Arabidopsis thaliana: one gene and its partners. The protein of the gene in region 2 purifies or fractionates together with the protein of the main gene of each other region. This does not show direct contact. Each region holds a gene or a part of one and is shown on either strand. Other genes may lie near its edges.

The links.
Region 1: the proteins of AT4G09300 (region 2) and THO7 fractionate together in Arabidopsis thaliana (co-fractionation; one large-scale study listed by BioGRID). This does not show direct contact.
Region 3: the proteins of AT4G09300 (region 2) and TAFII21 fractionate together in Arabidopsis thaliana (co-fractionation; one large-scale study listed by BioGRID). This does not show direct contact.
Region 4: the proteins of AT4G09300 (region 2) and RanBPM fractionate together in Arabidopsis thaliana (co-fractionation; one large-scale study listed by BioGRID). This does not show direct contact.

The regions. Positions count from the first base shown.
Region 1 is NC_003076.8:5,521,381-5,526,860, forward strand, and holds THO7 (Tho complex subunit 7/Mft1p), read right to left. Parts: upstream 2,632-5,480; 5' UTR 2,455-2,631; exon of another isoform or gene 2,127-2,454; 5' UTR 2,096-2,126; coding exon 1,499-2,095; intron 1,367-1,498; coding exon 1,262-1,366; 3' UTR 1,037-1,261; downstream 1-1,036. Other genes in the region: DOT2 (SART-1 family), read right to left, coding at 1-186; AT5G16800 (Acyl-CoA N-acyltransferases (NAT) superfamily protein), read right to left, coding at 3,129-3,355, 3,456-3,659, 3,777-3,876, 4,519-4,663, 4,770-4,915; AT5G16810 (Protein kinase superfamily protein), read right to left, coding at 5,480-5,480.
Region 2 is NC_003075.7:5,896,489-5,902,316, forward strand, and holds AT4G09300 (LisH and RanBPM domains containing protein), read left to right. Parts: upstream 1-2,524; 5' UTR 2,525-2,572; coding exon 2,573-2,750; intron 2,751-3,140; exon of another isoform or gene 3,141-3,325; coding exon 3,326-3,432; intron 3,433-3,513; coding exon 3,514-3,633; intron 3,634-3,707; coding exon 3,708-3,864; intron 3,865-4,073; coding exon 4,074-4,201; 3' UTR 4,202-4,526; downstream 4,527-5,828.
Region 3 is NC_003070.9:20,213,399-20,218,741, forward strand, and holds TAFII21 (TATA binding protein associated factor 21kDa subunit), read right to left. Parts: upstream 1,868-5,343; 5' UTR 1,737-1,867; intron 1,488-1,736; 5' UTR 1,472-1,487; coding exon 1,211-1,471; intron 969-1,210; coding exon 678-968; 3' UTR 501-677; downstream 1-500. Other genes in the region: RSH3 (RELA/SPOT homolog 3), read left to right, coding at 52-363; SPL2 (E3 Ubiquitin ligase family protein), read left to right, coding at 2,082-2,453, 2,681-2,779, 2,868-3,029, 3,121-3,242, 3,425-3,544, 3,629-3,905; NF-YA5 (nuclear factor Y, subunit A5), read right to left, coding at 4,183-4,476, 4,591-4,764, 4,850-5,308.
Region 4 is NC_003070.9:13,049,421-13,057,205, forward strand, and holds RanBPM (SPla/RYanodine receptor (SPRY) domain-containing protein), read right to left. Parts: upstream 5,674-7,785; 5' UTR 5,503-5,673; coding exon 5,111-5,502; intron 4,676-5,110; coding exon 4,529-4,675; intron 4,387-4,528; coding exon 4,300-4,386; intron 4,206-4,299; coding exon 4,160-4,205; intron 3,818-4,159; coding exon 3,741-3,817; intron 3,618-3,740; coding exon 3,455-3,617; intron 3,304-3,454; coding exon 3,235-3,303; intron 3,148-3,234; coding exon 3,088-3,147; intron 2,716-3,087; coding exon 2,629-2,715; intron 2,492-2,628; coding exon 2,216-2,491; 3' UTR 1,737-2,215; downstream 1-1,736. Other genes in the region: RALFL5 (RALF-like 5), read left to right, coding at 1-13.

The DNA of each region.
Region 1 (5,480 bases), on a different chromosome or scaffold from region 2:
TTTCTCCTTATCCCTGCGGTGGTCCTTATCCCTGATCTTTTCTCGATCATAGTCCTTTTCTTTATCCTTGCTCCTATGATCCTTCTCTTTCCTCCTTCCATCTCTGTGTTCTCTAACAGGCGAACCCTCGTAGTCAGCCCTCTCTTCCCTGATTTCATGCCTTGATTTAGACTTCTCCACTTCCATTTTCAAGAACTTTAGTCAAGACCTAACCACAGAAAAAGGAGTTACTCAGTAACAACAATTACAATGGTAGCAAAACTACAGCCGAGCAAGATGAGAATAACAAAACTATTATATTGGCATTACTCTGACAAAGTACTTGCACACTTGATGACAATTTTCGGTTTCAAAACTAGTGACAAAACACAAAAACACAAAAACCCTAACCTAAGAAGGATTTCATTATTATTGGGGAAATAAGGTAAAATCAAATCCTGAATCTAGCTAGCTATAAACATATTCAGACTTTGGAGGATAAACGGAAAACGGAACAAGGTCAAGCGATTCGAAATTCATCGGAAAAAAGAAGAAGCAAACATCTGAAACGAAATATCAAAGAAAACAAAGGTTGATCAAATTCCGATTCGAATTACCTCTAGATCAAACCTTCAATGGAAAGTACTGAATATTCGGATCGACGAACAAAGAGCTCAGAATTGCAGGAGAAATTTCCGAGGGTTTAGAGATAAATTGCGAAAGCACACCGACGAATAGTAAGGTTTAGAAGATAAAGACCTAGCAACTGCGAAGAATTTAGAAAAGAATGCTTCAAACGAGAGAGATGACGACAAACAGCAAACCGCGGACGATCGCAAACTCGCCGTGGAAAGAGACGGAGAGACTCTCTGGTGGCGAAGAGAGGAGAACGATTTTGCAAAATAGAGAAGATATACGTGTACTGTATATATATTAGTCCGGTTTAAAAGCAAATTCTTTGGTACGGGAATAAATCTTAGTCGGTTGAATTTTCTGGACCGGTTATTTTCCTGATGAATCATTACCAAACTTGGTTTAGTCAAATAAATCACTTTCTCCTGACCTTTCCGGTTCACATAGTCCTCAAAACCTCGAGAAGATCTGCCATTATTTTTTTTGAATCTGCGAGTTAAAATGAAACATACATATCCTTATTTTCATAGCAATTTTGGTTATGAGGCAACCAGAAGAAACCAGAAATTTATAAAACAGATTCTTCTTATCAATGAAAGGTTTGTTTCTTTAGCATTCAAGAGGAAGACAAAGTTGCTAAGATTAGGAGCTAATCGATGGACATGGCTTCAGCGCCATCAGCGGTAATGTTCCTCTGCATTTCTTCCACCATACTCTTCTGTTCATCCTCCATTGTCTCCTGCAACTCATCCACCTATACATAAAAGTTTTCACAAAACCAAAAAGGTTAGGATTTAGCTGTAAACATAAAGAAACACGAGAAAGGCGAAATCTTGTTTAGAATCTTAGCTATAAAAACACAACGAAACCCGTAAAATCGACATACCACATGCAACAACAATGCAAACTGCTTCTTCCTTAGTTCAAGAAGTCTCCAACTTGCTGTATTCTCAGCCTCGAGTTCTGCAATCTCCTTCTTCAATTCATGTATAACCTTCTGCGTCTCTGACCTCGGTGGCTGCGCAGAGATAAGTTTCCTAATGGCTTCACACTCCTCTTTCTGTTGTCTCTCTATCTTACTCTCCTCAAGCTGTTTCTTAAGATCTTCTATATCAGCTTGTGCCTGCATTATCTGCCTATTCGTCTCATCTTTAAGCTCGTTAAAGTTCTCTTTCTCCCTAAGATTTGCAGCGACAACTACTTGGCTCTTAAGAAGCGGAATCTCAAACGCAGAGAGTTCTTGCAAGAAAGCTTTCGCGAGCCTACCACACTCACTGTAGTTATCTTCTTCTTTGTCTAGTTCAATAACAAAAGAAGTGAATTTCTTCTGAAGCTTCTTCAATGGAGGTTCGCCTCTGGTGGTGGTCGTGCGTGTGAGAAGCCTATTTCTTATAATTTTGTCATCATGTAACGGATCGAAAGCATAATTAGCTGCTACAGTCTCTGATCTACCCGAAACAATCCTCCTAGCTCTCACTGACATCTTAACTACTAGAGTCTAATATTATTCAAATCTGCAGAACAAACACAATTCATAATAAGCTAGGCTAGGCTTCGCATAATTCTGACAAAGCATTATCTTAAACCAAACAAATAAATCTATGTAAGCTAAAAACTGCTCAAAACAATGAGAACACACTAAGGTCCTTTTTGAATACTCATTCACGGGAATTCATAACATTCGAACTAGTAATTAAGCAAAAGTTTCATAGAATTCGATTTATTCTTCTCATCGTCAAAATCGTTATAGGACAACTTCTGTTTCTCAAATTTTCAGTGAACCGAAATTATAGTGAGATTGACCCAATAAATAATCGGCGAAAAAGAGAATATTTAACTTACTTGAACCGAACCGAACCCAATATCAATTCACCTCTTGTACGATTAAAAATCCGAAACAGAGAAATTATGATTCTCTGATGCACTGTGAACCCTAATTCTATGTTTCCGTTCCTTCTTCCCCTTTCCCTCGTTCTTCACAGTTTGCTCGTTAACTTTCATTTATTATATACCTAATCCCTATTGTTTTTTAAATTACAATTTAAGCATTCACAGTGGTGAACTGAAATTTGTTACTAACCCAGAAAATTGGTCTGGTTTGTTTTTTTTTTTTTAAATCTGTTTAAACATCTCTAGTTAATTCCATGTCATGTGAATTAGCCCCAATTAGAGCCAAAAGCTGTTCATGATCAGAATTGAAGAAGGATCTGGTTTCTCGAAAAAAGTATTGGGGTTTGTTTTTGTAATTTTAAGTAAATTATATGAGCTTATGCTAGTTTTCACGCCATAAAGCACAAAGCTAATTTTTTCAACAAGCTAACTAATTTAAGACAATAAGACTAACAGTGGATTGAACCCTCCGTCCCAAAGAGTTGTCTTCAACTATCACATCACAATATTTACATTTTTATCACATTATTATTCTACACGAACACACACAATAGGATCACAACCAGAGCTTAATGGAAGACATTAAAATGAATGATTTTACAAAGTCTATGAATGGGAGACGGACACTATACGTAATCATACCCGGATGATACTCTTTCCGATGCAAGGTTTCGTTTAGTCTGAGTGGGCAAGAGACACCGCGTGTTGTCTTTGCTTTTAAGCCATTTCGAGCCTTTCTCATCGTGGTTCACCGTCAGCTTTGATGCGAAAGATTTGATTCCGCTCCTCATATAATTCAGAACCAACACCGCAAGATCTCTGCAATGCAGCCATGATTCAGCGATAACCCCATCTATGAAGAAACCGCAAAGAAACATCACAGCAAACAGAATTTAGAATGCAAAAAATACTTGTGTTTTGTACATACAAGGGTGAGCAAGGAGAGCGAGAACCGTTGATAAAGTAGACGAACAAGTAAGAATCGAAATGCTGGCCGTTGATTAAGTAGAATCCGTGTAACCTCCTTACACATCTGAAAGACATTCTTTTGTACAACCGGATTGCGGGATTGTTGTGTGCAATCACGTGAAGGTAAACACCACGGCACACAGGGATACCAGAAGAGTATTTGACGACCTCGTTAATAAGTGCCTTAGCTGCACAAAAAAGTTGCAGAACTTAATATTAACAAAACCAAGCAATAGAAGAGAAGCATCAAGCCATCAACAAAATATCCATATCATTGGTTTACTACATGGGGTCAGAATCAATACCGATTCCACGTTTTCTGTATGTTTCTACAACTCCAAGTGTTAGGATGTACACCAATGTCCCCTCTCCCTTCGACGAGTCATATCTTATTAGATCTGATATCTGTACAAGACATAGAAAATCTATCAACATATTACCCAAGAAACAGCCATTGATGACTCTTAACATTAAACGAACAAGTACAAAACAAGTTTGGATCATAATCAAGATGTTAATAAAGTGGCTGGCTCTTTTTGATTTTCTAGAACTTTCGTAAGAAACCCATCTAATGTACATGGCTTTAAAATTCACGCTTAAACCATTAGACATTGTGAAATGGTTCAACAACATTCAAAATCTACACTTCACAATTACTTGTTACTTGCTGTATAAAGTTATTTCGAAATTTCAGAACCAAAACCCAAAAGGCGAAGAACAAAGAGAAGACAATGTTTTACTACTGAAGAAGCTCCAACCAAAACTTAAAAGCTTAGAAAAAGCTGTTGAAATTGTAGAAAGTTTATATTTTTAAGAAATTTTTAAGAAAATGTTTCAAACATTCAAAATTTTCACTTTACAAGACATTGCATCTTCTTTACAAAACCCAAAAACCATTCAAAACAAGCTTCAAAAATAACTTGAAACGTTACAAATTGAAGCTTTATTTTCTCCAGTGGAAAGAAACCCATTTCGGACATTTGAAATCTACACTTGAACAAGACGATGAAAAAGGAAGACACTTGAACAAAACACAAAGCAACTCACTTCGCTTTCTTTGGCAAGTACGATTTTGGCAGTAACAAATCCAATAAGTTCCTCAGAATGACCATCAGGGCGACTCCGATCAACAGCAGCCCAAGAGACAATATCACCTCCGTTGACAACATTCTGAAAAAACTCAGACTCATACCTGAACAAAATCAAATGCTTTGATAAGACACTTCCAAAAAACGGAAAGTCAAATCCCAAAACCAGATCACATATAAATTCTTTCCAAAACAAAGGTATTTATTTACCTGATTGGGAATATGTCACGATGGATTTGCTCCAAACGTTCTAAATCAGAAGGGTTTATTGGTCTGAAGCAAATAGTTGGACGACGAGCGATTTTGGGTTCCTCCATTGATGAATTCTCCACAAATCCACGGGGAAAACGCGACATTGATCGAGATGATTAAGACTCAAACAACCTCAAATTCTCAATTTTTGATACTTTCATCTGAGAAAGAATCGAGTTCGAGATCAAAATCGGTCTCCGACCCGTTTGTCTGAATCGGAACCGGGTGGGTTAGGGTTTCCAGAATCAGAAGATGGGTTTGTTGATCTGCAAAGGTTTCTCGGAGAGTCAAGTGGGAATCGAAAGAAATGTGAAAACAAACGACTTTTGGAGAAGAAGAGGAAGGAAAAGTATTTGCTTGATTGCTTTGCCGTCTTCCCCACACATCGTTATGGCTTCAAGCGAAGCATCTTTGATTCTTCTTCGGATCATCTCACGTGCCTTGCGACTAACAAGCACGTGCGCATCTTCATCATTCTTTTACTTTTGACGACATTCTATTGTTTAGTTTAGTGACAACAAAACAATCTTAGTATAGCTAGTGCAGGATGAGCAGATTCAATATCATATTTTGGGAACCCACGATATATGATTATATGTTCAGAACATGGATCAAGGATTAATAGTTGTAGATAATTACGTAAATACATAATCTTCGTCTCTTCTCATT
Region 2 (5,828 bases):
TAGGAAATTAGGTATATTAGCAATCTGAAATCTCTCTTCACGTGAACTATTTTGTTTATCAGCACTGACAACATTATCTTTGGCCATCGTCAGCAATTTGTAGAGAAAGCAAGGGCTCATTCTCATCGTAATTCATCTATTCTTCATCGAGGAAAGCTTTGAGACGAGGTGTGGGATGGAGGAATTGAGCGTGTTCAGACTTGGATTTGATCCGATTGTAACCGCTCGCGCTGTTTGTCTAGTTTTACGATTACGATTCTGAATAATCAAGTTGTTAGATCTCACAATGTTATTGTTATTTTCATACCGGTACTATATTGTAAGTGTATTTTCATACCAAACAAATTTGTAAGATATTTTCATATCTAAAATGCATCTTTATTTGAATTTTATACCCAAATTTAAGAAAACGCGTAAAATTCAGAGTCAAATTAACAGAAGTTAGTCAACACCGTGAAGATTTTGAGTCAGCGCACACACTGTGATAATGACGTGTTTAAAACGACGTCGTTTTGCAGTGTTGGAATGTAAAATTTTCAAATTTTTGCAAAATACGGTTTCGAACCCGTGTCCTCTTTGTCTATAGAGAGGGTGTTAAACCATCTCATCCCACAAACTTCATTGATTATACACCAAACGTTTTAATATATAAAGGTAACGATTTTTCTTTAAAATGAAGTGTCTAGCCATTTTATCTAACACAACTTTATCGGTTAGATGCCAAACATTTTAGTATATAAAGGTAACAGTTTTGTGATTTTAAATTAAGGTAAAACCCTCTGTTTATACCAGCAATGTAATACCCCTGAAGATGACTAGCAATCGGACTGAAGGTCGCGAACGTAGAAGTGTGACCGTGACTTTCAAAATCTTTCGTAAAGAAAAATTTGATGGAATAATGGGTAAACTAGCACTACCTAAAGTGATCATAGATCAAAGGAGGCTAATCAAAAGAGTTATAGAGCAATCACGAGTGAGTTCAGATTTATTGGCTATCGCTAAGAGTCATGAAGCTTCTGTTAGTGTACCAGATGCATCAGATGTAGGAGTTAATTCTAAGTTCAGAAGTGTTGTTGAGAACACCAGGAAGCTTCTGTTAGTGTAAAAATATATTTTTGAATATATGTTGTATGACTCGATTTGGGCATTAGGCCTGGCTAGCCGAACACAAATGTATTTTGAAGTATTTTAAGATTAATAAAATGAGTTTTCTTAAAAGCCTTGTATATCTCTGATATTAGTCTTGTCCGGACTAACACAACTTGCGAATGTGGTACGGGTTGAAAAGCCTTAGGCCATGTTCGAGAGGAACGATGTTCGCAGATGGACTGACCTTGGTACTGGAGGTGTTCTGGGAACTCAGTCGGATTGTCTACGAGCGTCTTAGGTAACGCTTCCGGATTCGTTCTTAGTTTTAGAACGGTTCGGGGTGTTACAGTCGGTCCATATAAATCTCTAACTAAATTGTTAATGAAAATCACCTTTAAGTATAAATATTAAGAAAAAAGGCTCCTTCATTAATAATTACGCTTAAATATATCTCGTTTAATAGATATATTGTGTTAATGCTTATTAAAAATGTTTAAAACTTATATTCTTAAAAATTGCTAATGTCGATTTAAAAATTCCAAGATAGTGTAATCGTCATCCATTATCGTGCTTATATTTTATTTCAAATTCATTTAGTTACTAAAACTATACATGTTGATTTTTATTGTTATACGTAATATATGATGCGATATCTTAATTATATTGGTTTATCATTTCAGTTTTGCAATTTATTGTACCATGTTTTTAATGCTAATTTAAAGCAAACATGACATTCTCTTATATCTTAAAAAAAATATACATATCATCTTTTAATAAATCAAAATACAATAATATTTATTTGATAACAGACGTTTAGGATTCTGACGATACTATAGACGAATGAGTTTTCTGGTTAAGAGATGGAGGGATGTAAAATAGAACTATAAATATTTGTGTGTTTGTTTTGTTAATAGTTTAAAGATTTTAAATAAACTGATTAATATTTAAGGGTTTTTGTCACTAAAATTTCTTAGTTAATAGTATTATTTATTATTAATATAATTAATGGTTTTAAAATGGATATGTAGAGGTTTTTTTTTCATTAAAATCCTTTTCCATAATTACAAAACCTATAAATTGAGATTCGGGGAAAATAATATCTAAACCAATTGAACAGTCTCGGTTAATTAACGGTTCGATTGAAACCGGTTTTAATAAAGAAGGGGGAAGATTGAGATTTTTGGTAGCCAAAACAAAAGAATTTAGAAAGAAGCCATTTCGCTCCAAAGTCTCCAGAATTTTCCTTCTCATTCCCGGAAAATTTCTACAGGTATTTTCTGGGGAAAACGAAAATTACGTCAAATCTTCCGTAAACATTACGCTATTGCATCGCGCATCCGGATTTTGAACTTTGACTAAAGATCTTAATTCTAATTTCTTGTTCAGTTCCTTGGATTTGCTCGATTTCGGAAGAGAACGAAGAAGATAGTATGGTAATATCTTCATTCAACTTCAGCGATCTTGTTCTTAGTATCCTGATTGGATGAATTTGTTACTTCAGGAAACTCCGAAGATCGTAGTAACGAGTGAAGATTGGGAATCGAAGCTAAGTGATGTGGAAATTTTGATAGAAGACATGAACAGACTCGTGATGAATCTTCTTGTGGCTGAAGGATATAGAGAAGCTGCTGAGAAATTCAAAGAGGAGTCTATAACTATGCGTATCCTCTCTGATGATGATTCATGTTTAAACTTGTGAAAGAAATTTCTTTGATTCTTTCTTGTTCTGATGATGGTGATGATGATGCTTGTGAAAGTCTGGAAGAAATTTCTCAGATTCGTTCTTTTATGGTGATGATGATGCTTGTGAAAGTCTGAAAGTAATTTCTCAGATTCTTTCTCTTATGATGATGATGTGATTCGTGTTTAAATTATATGATGATGCTTGTGAGAGTGTGAATGAAATTTCTCAGATTATTTCTCTGATGATGATTCGTGTTTAAACTAGTGAAAGGAATTTATTAGATTCGTTCTCTTCTGATTCGGATGATGATTCATGTTTAAACTTGTGATTTGTGTAAGAACTTTCTCAGATTCGTTCTCTTCTGATGATGATGATTCTTGTTTAAACTTGTAAAAGAACTTTTGTTAGATTCTTTCTCTTCTGATGATGATGCTGCTTTAAAAGTGTGGAAGACATTTCTCAGATTCGTTCTCTTCTGATGGTGATGATTCAAGTTTAAACTTGTGAAATAACTTTCTGCTTTCAGTTCTTTTTTCCTTTAACCAGAAACAGCAGAGGAAGATCTTGCTAGCATGAATGAGCGATTGGAGGTGATAAAAGCTATCGAATCCCGAAATCTCGAGGATGCAATTGAGAAGTTGAATGCACTAAACCCTGAGGTATATGGAGTTTCCTAAGTGCTTAAGAGAAGAAATAGTTGGATATCTCATTACTTGTTTTTTGGTTTTTGGTGTTTGTAGATTATCAAAACAAGTTTTCACCTCCACCAGCAAATGTTGATCGAGTTGATCCGTGAGAAGAAGACCGAGGAGGCTGTTGCGTTTGCACAGGAAAAACTCGCGCCACTAGCTGAGGAGAATGTGAGTCTTTAGCAGATTCATCTTATAATAGGAGATTGGAACTGGTCATAAACAAATTCTGCAATCTTATGCAGGAGGCCTTACAAAGAGAACTGGAAAAAACAGTGTGTATACTCGTTACTGAAGGTCTCCCTAACTGCCCGTCCAGGGAGCTTTTCCACAACTCGCAGTGGATTAGGACTGCTAGCCACGTAAACGAAGCAATCCATACAAGCCAGACTGGAGAAAAAGGTATATGGCTATACTTTTTACTGACACAGAAAGTGAAAAATAATGAGCTTATCTACCAAAAAACAGAACCAGTTGTTTATGATGGCCAAAAGTGTCATAATTACAGTCCCTAGTTGCTCTCATGTGTCTTTCAGATTTCCAGCTCTTGAAACTTTGTCAATGTACCAAGTGAGATGATGATGATGTTATGTTTTGTGAATTGTCAACAGGTCCTGAATTGGAGCGCTTGTTGAAGGAGCTGATTTGGACTCAGAATCAACTGGATGAAAAAACAGTCTATGTGTATCCACGCATGAATGATTTTTCCACTGGCCAGCTCATATACCGACCAGAATGATTCTTCTTCCCTTTCAACAACTAACGGCTCTGCAAAAGGGAACATATATAGTGATATATAACTGATCTGTCGCAAGAACATGATGACCATTTCTTCCTAGTGAGTATTTTGAGTGAGGGGGGAGTTTTTAGCCTTGCTCTTATGATTTAGGGATTTTCTTATTCATGACAATATTGGACCCCTAGGTAGTACTAATAACAAGAGAGGGTTTTTGTTTTCAAATGTTGGTTTACTGGTTAGGCTTTTATTCTCCACCATGGTATGGTTCCTATAAAGCTACATAAGAATTCATTTTGAAGTTTGTTTGGTGTGTGACCGAAGAACCAAAAAAAAAAAAACAGTTGCTCATTCTTTGTCTACTTATCTCACTATTCGGCAATGCATATACGTCCTAATCTTTGTTTTGCTTATCTTAGTTATTCTATCTCTCTCCCTTACCTAAAAAGCTGGCTTCAAAGGACTTGACGGATCGTTTATAAAACAGACTAGTCATAAACATAGATTTATATTCGAGATGGCTTCAAATACGAATCTTAAACTGTTTATAGTATATATAGTATCTAATAGCTGCGGGTGTTGTGAAAGGGAACTTAGTGTTGACCATGGTCATGGAGTTTAACCAAGAAGTTTGTTGAACCAAGGATTCACACAATAGATTTGTTTAGAGAGGGAAAACAAATCTAGTAATTTCTCTTCATTAGGTATTCTATCCAAGACTCGATTACAAGAGGGGTTCTAATCTCTTATGAAATACATTAGGGTTTTGCTCAAGAACAGAAAAAGAATTAAAGTTTTAAAAAGGTATAGCTGCATCCATGATGGATTGCCTACGTACCCTGTGAAGGGATCAAGCCATTCGTAGTTCTCAATAGGTATAAAGTTCTATGTTTCTTGTGAATATCCCAAGATCTCCCCCTTTTTGTGAAGTCCCTAAGGCACTTTATATAGGATCCTTAAACCGCCTCCCTAGCGATATTCTTCGGAAGATTCTTATTTATCCTTAGGTCGGTTCTAGAGGATAATCGTCCTAAGGATATTCTCCTTATTCTTCGGAGGTTTTGGGGAGATTTCCTGATTTCGACATTATCTTCAAAGATTCTCCTTTATCATTTCTGAAAGTCCCATAAAAGATCCCATTTTACCGGAAATGATCCTTGGAGAATGAATGGTTTTTACAAGTCTTTGCCTCGCGTGTTCTTCACGGCTCGGTGGTCGTTTGAGAGGTGGCTTCGGGGCAAACGGTATGTACCGGCTCGGGGCGCGCTTGATGACTGTCCATTAAGCTCAGTTGGCTGTCTCCCGAGCCGATATAGATGTGTCCCGCAGCGTTCTCACGATTGGCTCGGGCTGTGTTCATATGATTAACACCCGAGCCATTTTACAAACTCTCTTCGGGACGGTCGATCGAATAAGGTCCCGAGGTGCTTTGTTCTAGGCTAGGGGCCAATCATATGTTTAACCATGAGGTGATTGTTATTCTTAGACTGTTTGGCTCGGTCTTGCTTGTGGGGGAATCCGACCCCAACGAAGTTGTACCTTGACGGAAGAGAGCACGAATGGGATCGGTGCGGGTGTCTGGAAAGTGCCTGAAGAAGGTTCATGTGATGATCAAACTCTGGAATGCTAC
Region 3 (5,343 bases), on a different chromosome or scaffold from region 2:
TGAGGATGTTTCTTTGCTTGGAGTTATAATTTGATAAACCCGAAAATGCAGATGACTGTGCAAGAGTTTCCCGAGAATTCTACCGTGTCGGACCTGTTACGCAGAGCAGGACCAGGGAGCTCGAGATGGTCAATGTACAGCATCCCGGCAAAGGAAGAGCTAAGGCCAAGACTTAACCAGACACCTGTAAGTGATCTGAAATGCAAGCTGAAGATGGGAGATGTGGTGGAGCTGACTCCAGCCATACCTGACAAGTCTCTGACTGAATACAGAGAGGAAATTCAGCGGATGTATGATCGAGGGCTTGCGTTTTCACGGCCTCACCGTGCAGCTACTGGTACCATGGTTGGCTGGGGAAGCTAACTGATTCTCTTAATTACCTTTGTTCATGTATATATACTATAGTTGCATATATAGTATAATGCTTCAGAAGATTTGTTGTACCTTCGGTATTGTTGATTCCCACACAACAGTGTATATAAGATATGCCTATATGTTCTAAAAAACTGACTCTGGTCATTAATATTTGATTCTCTTACATTCTAAATCTTCAAACCACACATCTGGATCTGGTCCATAAAAACTGGCTCTGGTCATTAATTTTTGATTGTGTTACATTTCTACTTGTTGATACATAAATATTATAGATTTTTTGGTCTATCTACTTATTTGGGTACTTATTTGGGTCGTCTAGAGAGTGGGAAAGAGACCCTTTGAGGAGTTTGGCTTGGAAGGTCTGAGGTTTGTTGTTGCTGCTGTTGTTGTTCTTGAGAGGACTGTCCAGGATCTGTCATTTCTTCATCGTCCTCGGTTTCTTCAGGTTCTGTTGAAACCGACTTCTTCGGTATCACGAGCTGATAATTTGGGCTCAGCAATGTGTCCTGTTCAGGTGGGAGTGGAACACCGGGTCCTGCTATCGATTTTGGCAGAGGTATCTTGTTCCTACTTGCAGCAAGCTCAAGCAGAACCTAAATCAAACATCAAAAACAGAAACTTCAAGATTCAGGAACCAAAAGGCATGGATGTGACAGACAAAAACTTGAGGTTCTCAGTGATACAATTTATGAGGCAAGAGGGTCACACACAGTTCATAAGTCATAAGTAAGAGTGATAATTCCCTAATGATTCACATATACCAAATGACCGATCATATCGCATCTCTTCTCAGACAATGAAGAAGAAGAAACATGGAATCGTCAACAATGCATACCTCTCTTGGAGGAGGCTGTGAGAAGCTGAAATTAACTTTGGATTGAATAGCGAGCTTCACATCATCACAGTCAATGTTGGGTTTGCTAGCATGCTCTGAGTAAACCTGAGCATCTGTCAACACTTCGACCACATACCGGTACCATAACTCCAGAAACTGATGTATCACACGAGGCTCGTAGTCTTCTACACCCATCGACTTAAGCAGAGATTTCACAATCTTAGCATCTCTAGGTACATCTTCTTCACCTTCTCCTGCCATGTTTATCCCTAAACAACTAAAAAAAAAGTAAAGCTACAGAGTCAAATTAAGAACCTTTCTTATACAGAATTGATGTTGCAACAACACAAGTTTCAATCGAATCTCACAAGCAAACATCGTGTAACAGCAACACATTACATAAATCGAATAAATAAGAATTAGAGCTTCACGAATCGGAGATAAGAAAGACAAAGGAGATTCTAACCTAGCTTCATCAATAAGTTCCAAAACACAAGATTATATGCCATAAAGAGGCGATAAATACCTAATGCGAGAGAGAAAGTTTGGTGGAGAGCTAGTGGCAGAAACACGACGGAGAGATTGATGAACGGCGGCGAGGAATCGGGAAATACTAATCTCTGCCACTCTAGATCTGATATTTATGGTTTTGGTTTGTAAATCTGCTGTAACGTTGAGGGTGTAAATGTAATTTAACTAAAACGCTATTTATTACTAGTATTTTGTATTTCACTCGTGCATAGGCCCATTAAAGACCCAAATTAGAACGACGGTCGAATGTATAATATTAAATACCGATAATAGCCTCATTTCTCTTCCGTTTACTTGTCCGTGTGACCGTGTCTACGACGTTGAAATCGAAATTACCACAATGTCCTCGCCGGAGCGTGCTCTCTTGAATCTATTGACGGACATCGCTCTCTCCTTCGACGGCGCAATCCTCGGACTGACTTTAGCTGTTAGCGCCGTCGGTTCTGCTCTCAAGTATGCTTCTACCAACGCCGCGTTGAAGAAGATCAAAGATGCACCCGAAGTCTCCATTTCCGACCTCCGATCACTGCTTCCGGCTTCTGAAGACAAATCAGAGACTAACGATAACAGGAAGAGCAATGATCAGCGAATCGTTGTGGTTCGCGGAGTCGTCAAACCGAAAATTTCCGGTGATGAGGGTTACAAGAACAACAACGTGTTAATCTCTCCGGAGACTGGAGATAAAGCTCTTATCATTCAGAGAACGCAAACTGTACGTTGCTCTAAACCCTAAGTGTTTATGTTTCCCTCAAATTGCAATTGACATTGACCTAATTTTGCTTTGTGTTCTTATCAAAGGCTTAGGTTAAAGAGTTTGGATGATTTCTTCATGATTAGGTGTTCATTGTGATTGATTAAGTTAGGATTATGTAAGTTGGTACTGGTGTGATCTCAGAAGGGAAATGTATGTTTCTAATGTCATCATTTTGTTGTTGACAGTATGTGTATAGTGGATGGAAGAGATTGTTTCAGTCCACTGGTCACCGGTTTATGTTGGAGAGATCATTGCGCAAACACGGTGCTGATTTTACGAGAACGGTAAAGTCTCTCTATCAGCTTCAGAGCTTTCAACTTTGGCTCTGTATCCATGATCAAACTTGTTTTGTGTATCCTTTGCTTTGTGCAGGTCCCATTTGTCATTGTTGGAAAGGATCAGCAATCGAACTCTAGTTTTGTCGCTGTTAACATGGATGGCTCAAGGCAACCTCTTCCGCTTACCACTGTGTATAATCGCTTGCAGCCTATTAATTCTTCGTTTCTTCAAGCCTTTTTGTACCCCGATTATCCTGTGAGTATATATATATTCAAAGAAATTTCTGGTTTTGAGGAACTGATGGTTACTTGTTCTTGGCTAACTTTGTAATCCTTTCTCTTCCAAGGTTGGTCTGCTTGATATAGAGAAGATTTTACCACCTGGGAAAGATATAACAGCTGTTGGCATCTACAGTTTTAATAATGGAGTTCCTGAAATCAAATCGTGCCAAGATCTTCCTTATTTCTTGTGAGATTTTATCTGAATATTTTTCGTTCTTATATATCTGCCTGCGTTCTAGCTCAAATTATTACTTCATCTTCTTCTTTATGTTTTCTCAATCTGTTGATCATTTGACAAGATTTAGTCCATTGTTGCAGAAAGGCTCTATTTGCTGTTCATATATAAATCTTTATGAATAATCTTTGCAGATCAGAGATGACCAAGGACAAGATGATTGAGGACCTTATGGAACAGACCAACTTTATATTCTTGGGCAGCGTTATCTTGGGCATTGTGTCTGTTGGCATCCTTAGCTATGCTGCTGTCAGGTACTGGAGTTGTGAGAGATCAGATTTGGTTTTAGATTTGGGCAATGTTTCGATTTGAAATCTGTTTAACTGTCTTATCTTCAGGACCTGGAATAAATGGAAACAATGGAACCATCAGAGAGAACTGCCACAGAGACCGAACGATTCTGTGGTCGATGATGAACCCGAAGATGCAGATGAAATCCCAGATGGAGAATTGTGTGTGATCTGCGTGTCAAGAAGGAGAGTACCTGCGTTTATTCCCTGTGGACATGTAGTATGTTGCAGGCGATGTGCTTCAACCGTGGAACGAGAGTTAAACCCTAAGTGTCCAGTTTGTCTTCAGAGCATTAGGGGATCTATGCGTGTATATTACTCTTAGTGACCCTGAATCTTCTCTCATTGTATGTAATAGGGTAATGCAATTTGTACTCTCAGAGAATCGGAAGTTAACAAAATAGTTTGACAATGATTTGAAAGTTCGTCAAGTCACTCAATATAGAGTGAGAGATTGTAGAGGATATGAAAGCAAAGTTTTTAAAAGGAAGAAATTTTGTAACCGATAACATAAGTAGCCAAGGATGACTTCCCGTCATGTATCATCACCAGTCTCCGGAGTTTAGCCTGAGTTCTCTCGGAGCAAGGTCTTCTCATGTGCCTCAAGTCCCTGACATGAGAGCTGAGGCATGGTGTGTTGACGGATAACCTGAGAATCTGAACTGCGGGTTTTGGAACATGTTGATACAGTTTGAATTGGAGCTCGGTGAGATCGAACTAGACCCGATTCCGCTTCCACCACCGTGAGGGCTCATAGAGAAATTTTGTCCATTTGCCATTTGAGAAGAACACAGTGAGTTTGATGATTCTTGAAGCTTCTTTGTATTGAGGAAACGTCCACCGGAGCCTCTAGCTCTCTTTAAAGCATGAAGATGGCGAGACTCATGAAGGTACGGCTACAGAAAAAGAAAACAAAACTTTATTACATCAAATCATCAAGATCTTCTGAGTTAGTTTTCCCTCTTTCTCTTTGGTGTTTTAGGCAAAATGGAAAGTGAAAACAGTCATACTTTACGGCATTTGATGAGTTTGTTCTGAGCTTCGAGTTTAGCACGGTGCTTCCTGCGACGGAGAATCGCATGATACTGTTTCGCATTGACAAATATTGGTTCATTCTCTTGAATGTGATGAGGCAATGGCACTCTTGAAGAAACCAAACCCATCATCTCTAAATGTGGCAGCGCCTGCAAAAAGATTTCCCAATCAACCAATCAATGCGCCAGATCGATTCAGAATAGTAAAAGCACAAAAGGCTTCACAGCATATTACCGTTGGTGTTGATGCATATTCAGGAGCCAAGAAACCATTGAAATGTGACGTTTCAGCACATTGAAGAGACCAAGATATTTGACCAGAAGTAGGAGCAGGAAACACAGAGTCTTGAGACACCATCGACGAGGTAGTAATTGACTTAGTATAATTTTCAATAGGCTTTCCCAAGTTTTCGATGTAACCTGAGAGATTGTTATTAACAATGCTGCATCCATAACGCTTATATTCTCCAAAGCTTGCAACTTCACCGCCGCCTGATTCTTCTTCAGTAGATTGTGATGAGGTTGAATCTTGATTTTGCAGCTGCAAACCCGAATGTTTCATCGCGGGTAATTGTGTTGTAGACATTATCATATCCTTAGTCAAGCTGAAAGATTCAGATCCTTGAATATTTGAATTTGTTGTAGGCATTGAGTTTCCCCAAGATGAATCTTCTTTCCTTTGAAACACTTGCATTGTCTTCAAATCTTTACTTCAATAAACTAAATGTC
Region 4 (7,785 bases), on a different chromosome or scaffold from region 2:
AATACCAGTGTAAACAAAATAAAAAGAGATGAACAAAGTTATTAAGTATTTAACTTTGTTCACTTAGATCTATGTAACAAATATATATCACAAGAAAAGAAACAGTGTTACGATATATTCTATTTTATTTATTTTGTTTAGCATAATTTTGTATTTTCCAAAATTTTTTGAGTACCACTAAACATTATAGTATGTCCCTAATATTTAGTTACATTGAAATAATTTTGTCTCACATAATCTCAACCAATATCAAATATGACTTCATTCTATAAAATAAAATTTCCAATCATACACATTCAACCAAAGTCTTTGTCTATAAGATAATCTTTTGATGCTTGTCTGGAATTATCATCTCAAAAGCTAATGGTCTGGTTATAAATGGTCGTATCAATTAGGTAAATAATCATATATGTCGATCGAAACATTTGATGATGGAGCCAATGATTTTGGTTGGTCCAAATTGAGTATATCGAGCATTGACATGTTAATATATCAAATCGAAGCTCTGGAGATGACGAGTTCAACTATATCTTTAATTATTTAAAAACAAATGTATGTGATAGTGAAAACATTTACAATATATGTAAAGTTACAAAAATGAGTTATATTGCGTATTATTTTTAACTTTATAGGATTACTTTGCATTTTTTGAACGTTGAGGATAATGTTGCATAAATAGATGACTTTGAGGGCTTTTTGCGCAAAACCTATAAAAATATAATACAAAAACAAATACTGAGGCAGAAAAGAAGCTATCGCCTCCTTCAGCCGATAAGCGTCTATACTCTCTCGTTTTTTCGAGGATGTTCATGCCTTTGGCCTAGGAATGGGCATAACTATATGTTTAACACTTAGCATGTCCAACTATTTATAACAAAACTTTTAGTCCCTTGTTGCTTTTACAACCAATGTGGGATAAGTTGCTTTCATTCACATGGATTTTTGAATCACAAAAGCATTGGATGAAGGTATGAAGCTAATTATTTTTCTTCTGGAAAATGATTTAGGAAAATATGGATGATTTAAAAGGTAATATAAAAAAATATTATGGACATAAGAGGAGTGCAAACAACAAAATTTTGTAGTTTCCAACAAGATTAAAGTCGTAGTAAATTTTCCAAACCCCCAAAACTCTACTCCTTGTTTGTTTAGAATTTTTATAAAAAGTAAGAGACAGAACATAAATAAATAATCTAAAATTCACATGAAATATTTCTTTCAAACAATTGCGTGTAGTAAAAAAAAAAGCGAAAGGCAGCAACAACTATGAACGTACCAGAGAGTTTAGACACTCAACAGGTAAGGAGACAAAAGCTGGAATCAAACAGGTGACAGCTTTAGTCGATGGATTTCTGCAATCAATTGTTTGCTCAAGTTATTGCCTCCTATAGTCGTTGAGTATCTACACCCTCTGATATATTTGAGGTTATTGCCACCTTCAACCAAAGCATGAGAAAAATATATATGTTCAACACTCGGTATGTTTAACTATTTATAGCCAAACTTTCATTTTTTCTTGCTTTCGCATCCGATGTGGGACTCATTGCCTTTTTTCACGTGGGTTTTTAATCACAAAAGCATTGGATGAAGCTAAATATGATCAATATAGACTCTATTTACATTAGTTATTGGGCTTTTATTGGATAGGTCAAATTTCATATTTACTATTATTTTGAAAATGTGAAAATTGTAATTATAATTATTAAATTTACATTTTAAACAAGAATTTGTTTTTTCTCGATTGTTTAAAACTGATTATAATTTACAATAATATTTATTTACCATCATAACATTTATACATCGTCACATGAAATTATGAAAAGAAAATAAAAAATTAAAGATTCTCTTCATAAAAATTTCTGTTTACCATAAAATCTCTTTTTGAGAATAATTTCAGGTAACCCCAAGCGAACAAAAGTTACAAAACCCGAAAGATACCGCTAAACCCGAACACCCCCACCGCTAATTCAGTTTTTCCATTTCTGATTTGAATGTTGAAAATCTTAATTTGAATCATCTAAACTTTAAAGAACCAATAACAGTGGAAGTCCCAGTGTCTTAACGTCGAACCCATTTTTCTAACTTTCTCCTTTACATAATGGAAAGTTCAACATAATATCACACAAGTAATGAACAAAAGCCACTTATGATGATAACGACCATAGAAAAACAGAGTTTTCAAAATATATGCGCGGCTAAGCCATTTTCATCTTCTTTATCTGTTGTTGTTAAGAACATGTCGAAGCCGGAATGTTTCACCTTGGTCTCCATTCAGTGACCGCCTTTCTAAACAGCACACGGTTAACTGTCTTAGCAGTTTCTCTAGATGGGATTGCAAGTGACAGCTTCTCTGCACATCTTTCTTATTTGGATTTGTTGATAGTATTGCTGCATTCACCGCATCAGCCACTAATTCCCTCTGTGAGTCTTCTAGGAAATACCAGACCGATGATTCCTCAGGCTTTTCATACGCGAGCAAAGCAAAGCAGTCCTGAATAATCAACAAGAAAATAGAGTTCCTAAGCGAAGCAGCAACATATATAGTCTCTGTATCTGAACGCAATACATACATATTCTCAGAAACCAGATCTTGCTTGAAAGAAAAAGGAGTAAAGGAGACATTGGTACCTCGACTATATCTTGAAATCCAGTTAACCCAACAAATTTAGCTAACTCGAGTCTGCCATAGTTCACACCTTCTTCAAGTTTTCCAACCTGTTTATGCCATGTTTTTCCAAAACCATATAGTTAGAGAAATAGCCCCATCTGCATAGATGTGAAAGTGAACAAAGAAGGAATAATCCAGAGAACTAACTTAAGGTGATATTTATACACGGTGACAAGGTTCCATGCATCTATGTAACATGGTTTCCAGTGTGTTATAGGTTCTGTGCATTTTTTCACTAGTTTATGGTTTAACACCAAAGTCCATCACACAGTTCAAGCAGCTAATTTTTGTATGAGACACCAAATCCATCAAAAGCTTCCTTAATTACAAAAATTTTATTCTTATATGCACAGAGAGAGAATATTTCTGACAAGTATTAAGAACACGAAATTTAGATGGTTAAGGAATGAAGAGCATACCCGTACTAATTCAATAAACTTTTGACAGTGAAGGAGGAAGCAAACTACAGATTTATCGTCCTGCAGTAGGTACAGCCGGGTAAGACTTCGTATCACAATCCTGTGAAGTGGATCATCTCAACAATATGATAAGAAATCTCAGTTCACCTGTACAATTTGGGGATACAACTTTTGGAGTTCCGCCAAAGCAGTATCAATCTCACCATTCCTAACAAGCTACACCCAATAAAGAATGAATCAGTCCAAATTCACTAACGAAGCAGTAATTTAGTATGGGTTTGAATAGGAACCAAAAAAAGCCAGATACAAGCCTAATAAAGTTAGAAGATAACATGTCTTATATGTTAAACCGTAGCAAGTTCAATACCTGTCTAAGATTCTTTCTCTGTTTCAAAGCATAGGATGAATCATCCTCGTCAATAGCATTTTCTTGATCTATATGAATTGGAGGAACTGTATTTTTAGTAGCAAGGTTGAAAGCATCGAGTGTCTCCTCATACCCATAGTGTAGCAGGTAGGTCTTGACAAGCCTAATGATAAAGAAAACAAAATTATAGATAAAGCAGAAAGCTAGTCCAGAAGGGAAACCAAGTATTGCAATTCAAAGTTAAAAAAGTACATGATCTGTTACTGCTGGGAAGGAGTGTACTCACCCATAACCAATGTTTGGAGGTATGGATATTTTTTCAATAGCCAATTGTTGCTTATTCCTCTCTGATGCTTCATATCCCTAATAATACAGAAAGAGGGAAACAGCCCTCGTCAATTACTTAATTTCAAACATATATGTAATGGAAAGAATTTTTATGCCCTACTTCAGTGTTTAAAGATTATAACTTGAGTGCCCAAGAGTTTGAGGTTTGATTACACAGGAACAGTAAAATAGCAAATGTGAGAGCAATGTCTACAAAGAGAACCACTGCTATAGATTCGGTAACCCCAGTACCAAGAACGGACATGAGGCATACCTATTATGTGATTTCAATAGCAGTAGTCCTGGTTACACCATCCTTACTTTAGTATAAAGCTATGAGACCTAATTAACCACGTTTGAAAGGATTTTTCCTCTTACCTTAATATCGAAAGCAAATTTCTTCTTCCCAAAATTGACTAATACCCTGCCAAAATTTCAGAAAAATATGCTTTGTGTAAGAGAGAGTGAGATACATGATGGCAATGGTATTGATCTTTAAAGAGAGAGTGAGAACATACTCCTCATTTTGGCTATGTACAGCTACAGTAGGGAATAGATGACCTCTTATGTCCTTGGGGATTTTCCCAACAATAGTTCCGTTTTTACTGGCACCAACAAAAATAATCAAAAATGTCATCAGCTTTAACAGACAAAGAGTAACAGGAAAATGAATGAATCATGAATTCAACTCACAGTAGTAATGAACTTATTTAAGTACCAAAAAACATGAAACAGTTTCTTTCTTACGTGAAAAAGAACTCCTGAGAAGCGTAGTTTATACCACCGCCAACTGCATCATCTTTTGTAAACTTTGGACCAAAAGGTTCACCTTTTCCCTGTCCACGATATAGGTATCCATCATCCCCATGATATCCACAGCTGTTCACTTCCCATCTACCATTACAAAAGAAAACTATAACCTCAAATTCAAGTATTAGGCAGATAAAGCTTCTTTCAAAGGCACTATCATCCATATTTGTAAACTCAAGAACCTAGCTTTCAAATAAACCACAAAGCAATGTCCTTCGAATTTCAGATTCTTCCCTAAACCACTTCTACACAACTGAACTCACCAGAAAGAACACACACAACCTAATCCAAGAAGCTAAATCTCTATAATAACTAAACCACAACTTGGATCCCAAAACCATACCACAAACCTCAATTTCTAAAATAAACCATACCTTAAACACAACAATGATCAAGCTACAAGCTAAAACTATACTTCTTGAACTAAATCCTTCAAATTCAGATTCTTCCCTAAACAACTTCAACACACAATGATCAACAAAGATTGGATCCAAAATCCAAAGATAAAGAAAACAATACCCAGGTTGTCTACGCATTTTGAAGCTTTCCTTAGTAAAACCAATAGCAATTTGTCCTTTAATACCAGAATCTTTAACAAAAATCTCAAAGTAGTAAGTAAGACACTTGATCGGAGCAGGTTTATTAGCTTGAACAACACCAACATCGTGACCATGTAGATTCGTATTCGTGTACTTCACGGAAAGCTTATCAGGAGAAACCACAAGAAATCCGCCGGCGCTATTGATCGTATTCAACTCCGTCGGTAATTCTTCTCCTTCGTCTTCCTTCGCATCTCGTTTAGCGGAGAGACGAATCTTGTCTAAGAAGTTTAAGTTCAGATCTTGACCGTTCTCGCCGTTGTTGGTTGTATCGCCGTTGGCGGAATTCGCCGGTGGTGGTGAAGAGTTCATTGGTTTTGGTTCCGATTAGAGAAAACCCTAGAAATTTTGAGATTAGGCTCTTCAGAGGTTTTTGGAGTCTATAAGAAGAAGAACACTGAATTAGAGAATTTGTTGAGATTTCTTCTTCTCTTTGATTTATTTTTTGATCCGTTGTTTATTTTTGTGACCCGCTAGTTTCGGTATTTGTTAGACTTATTTTTTTCTTATATATATTTCTCTATATAAATTTCATAAATAATATTTAGTTATATACCAATTAGTTGGCTGTTTCAATTCATAAAAAAACACAAACTTTTTTATAAAATGTAAAATTAATCCATGTTTTATCAAATTTAATTCATACACACTTTTAAAATGTAAAATCAAATCCATGTTTTTATCAAATGTGATTCATAAAGACTTTTAATATCAAAAGTGGTTTTATTACCAAAACAAAACTTAAAATAAAAAATATTTCAAAAACAAAAGAGAAAAAACAAAAGTTTCATGGCACACTTGATTTTTCCGATCTTGAACCTTCTACTCTCGAACTACTTGTAGTCTTTCGAGTATCTCCATGGTTAAACTCATTGGTATCTTCTGTGGTACCTACAATTTACAATGAAATTTAATTAATATAATTCAATTACCTATAAAGCTTTCAATTTAAAACTCTTACCTTCATAGTCAACAAACTTGCGTAGCCAATTGCGAGTACAAAGCAAACATGAACATTTTCTGGAAGCAAGCGATTTCTATATGGAGTCAAAACCCTCGATCCAATGCTAAAAGCTGAGTTTGATGCTACTTTAGTAATAGGAATGCTAAGGACATCGCATGTCATAGAAGCTAAACCGCCAAATCGATTCTGATTATCTTTCCAATAGCTTAAGACATCCAAATTTCGAAAAAGACTTTCACTCTCATCCAAATAAATATCCAAGTGTGTCTTTGTGTTGTTCACACCGTCTTCAATACTTCTTTCTAGTTCAAATAGATCTTATGTTACAAAAACTCACATTAAGTTAATTCACCAAGTTCCAACTTTATACAATATCATCAAATTCTTCTCGAGCCCTTTAATTTTTAACTTATAAGTAGTAGAATTTACTTTCTTTTAAGCTACTTCAAGCATCTTCAATTTAAGCTTCGGATCCAAAACTGCTCTCATAGCCAAAATGAGACTATAATCTTCCCAATACTCGGAAAATTTACCATGCATCTCTTGAGCCACTTGCTCAACAACATCATCATCACAAATAGCATACTTCTTCAGCAACAACTCAATCCTCCATATTTGTGTAAAGTATACATTGGATGTGGGATACTTAGAGCCTAAAAAGTAAGTGATAATAACACTAAAAGGTTTCAATAGATCAAAAATTTATCATTGGTATCAAAAGCTTTCATGCTAACAAACGCTTCTCTAAACTTCAACGCTCTAGCAAGCATTTCATCTTTCTACATGCCATGTTCATATTCCGAACAAAAAAATTGCATTCAAACGATTAAAAGAAAGAAAAAAAATTGGTATGCCCGAATTTTTTGTTGAATAATTACAAACTTTATTTTTGCATTCGAACTTATTTTTCCCCAAAATTGCTAAATCAAAGAAGCATCAGAACAATGAAGTTTATATGTGATATGTTTGTCTTTTGTTTTGATTGAATTTCTTCTTCATTCTTTTTTTGCATTATTGAAAATTATCAAACATTATTTCAATTTTAGAGGTTTGAAAATCTAAAGGTAAACTAGATAAGGATCCACGATGTGCAGCGTGAGGAAATATTTGTGGCAATTTTGGTTTGATAGTTTACATCATAAATCATAATCATAATATTTTCTATTTAATAAAATTTATTTTGTAATTTTCTGTATTTAATTTATTGTGTCATACTCCAATATAATTCCGCAATTGGATCAGTAAATTCGATAATCCTACGCTAATCCACCCAATGTTAAAATCCGTTGGATCATACTCTATGTTTTTGTAATCTATTTTGGATCTATACTCTATGTTCTTGTTTTTTTATAAAGAAAGAAAATGAATCAAATACTGAATGAGTTAAAACAATAGCAGACATACATATAAAATAGTGTGCACATTGAAGTGCTGCTAAATTTTTTAAAATCTTAAATATATTGTAGAGATTGTTAGGTTTAGGAGTCAATTTTAAATCTTCAAGATATGAAAAATTCTTGCAAATCAAGTTTAGTTCAAAATATATGAAAATTGTATTCTAAATTATTGAATGTAAAATATAGTGAAAATGGTTTGCATATATTTTAGGGAGATTTACAAAACTACCATTT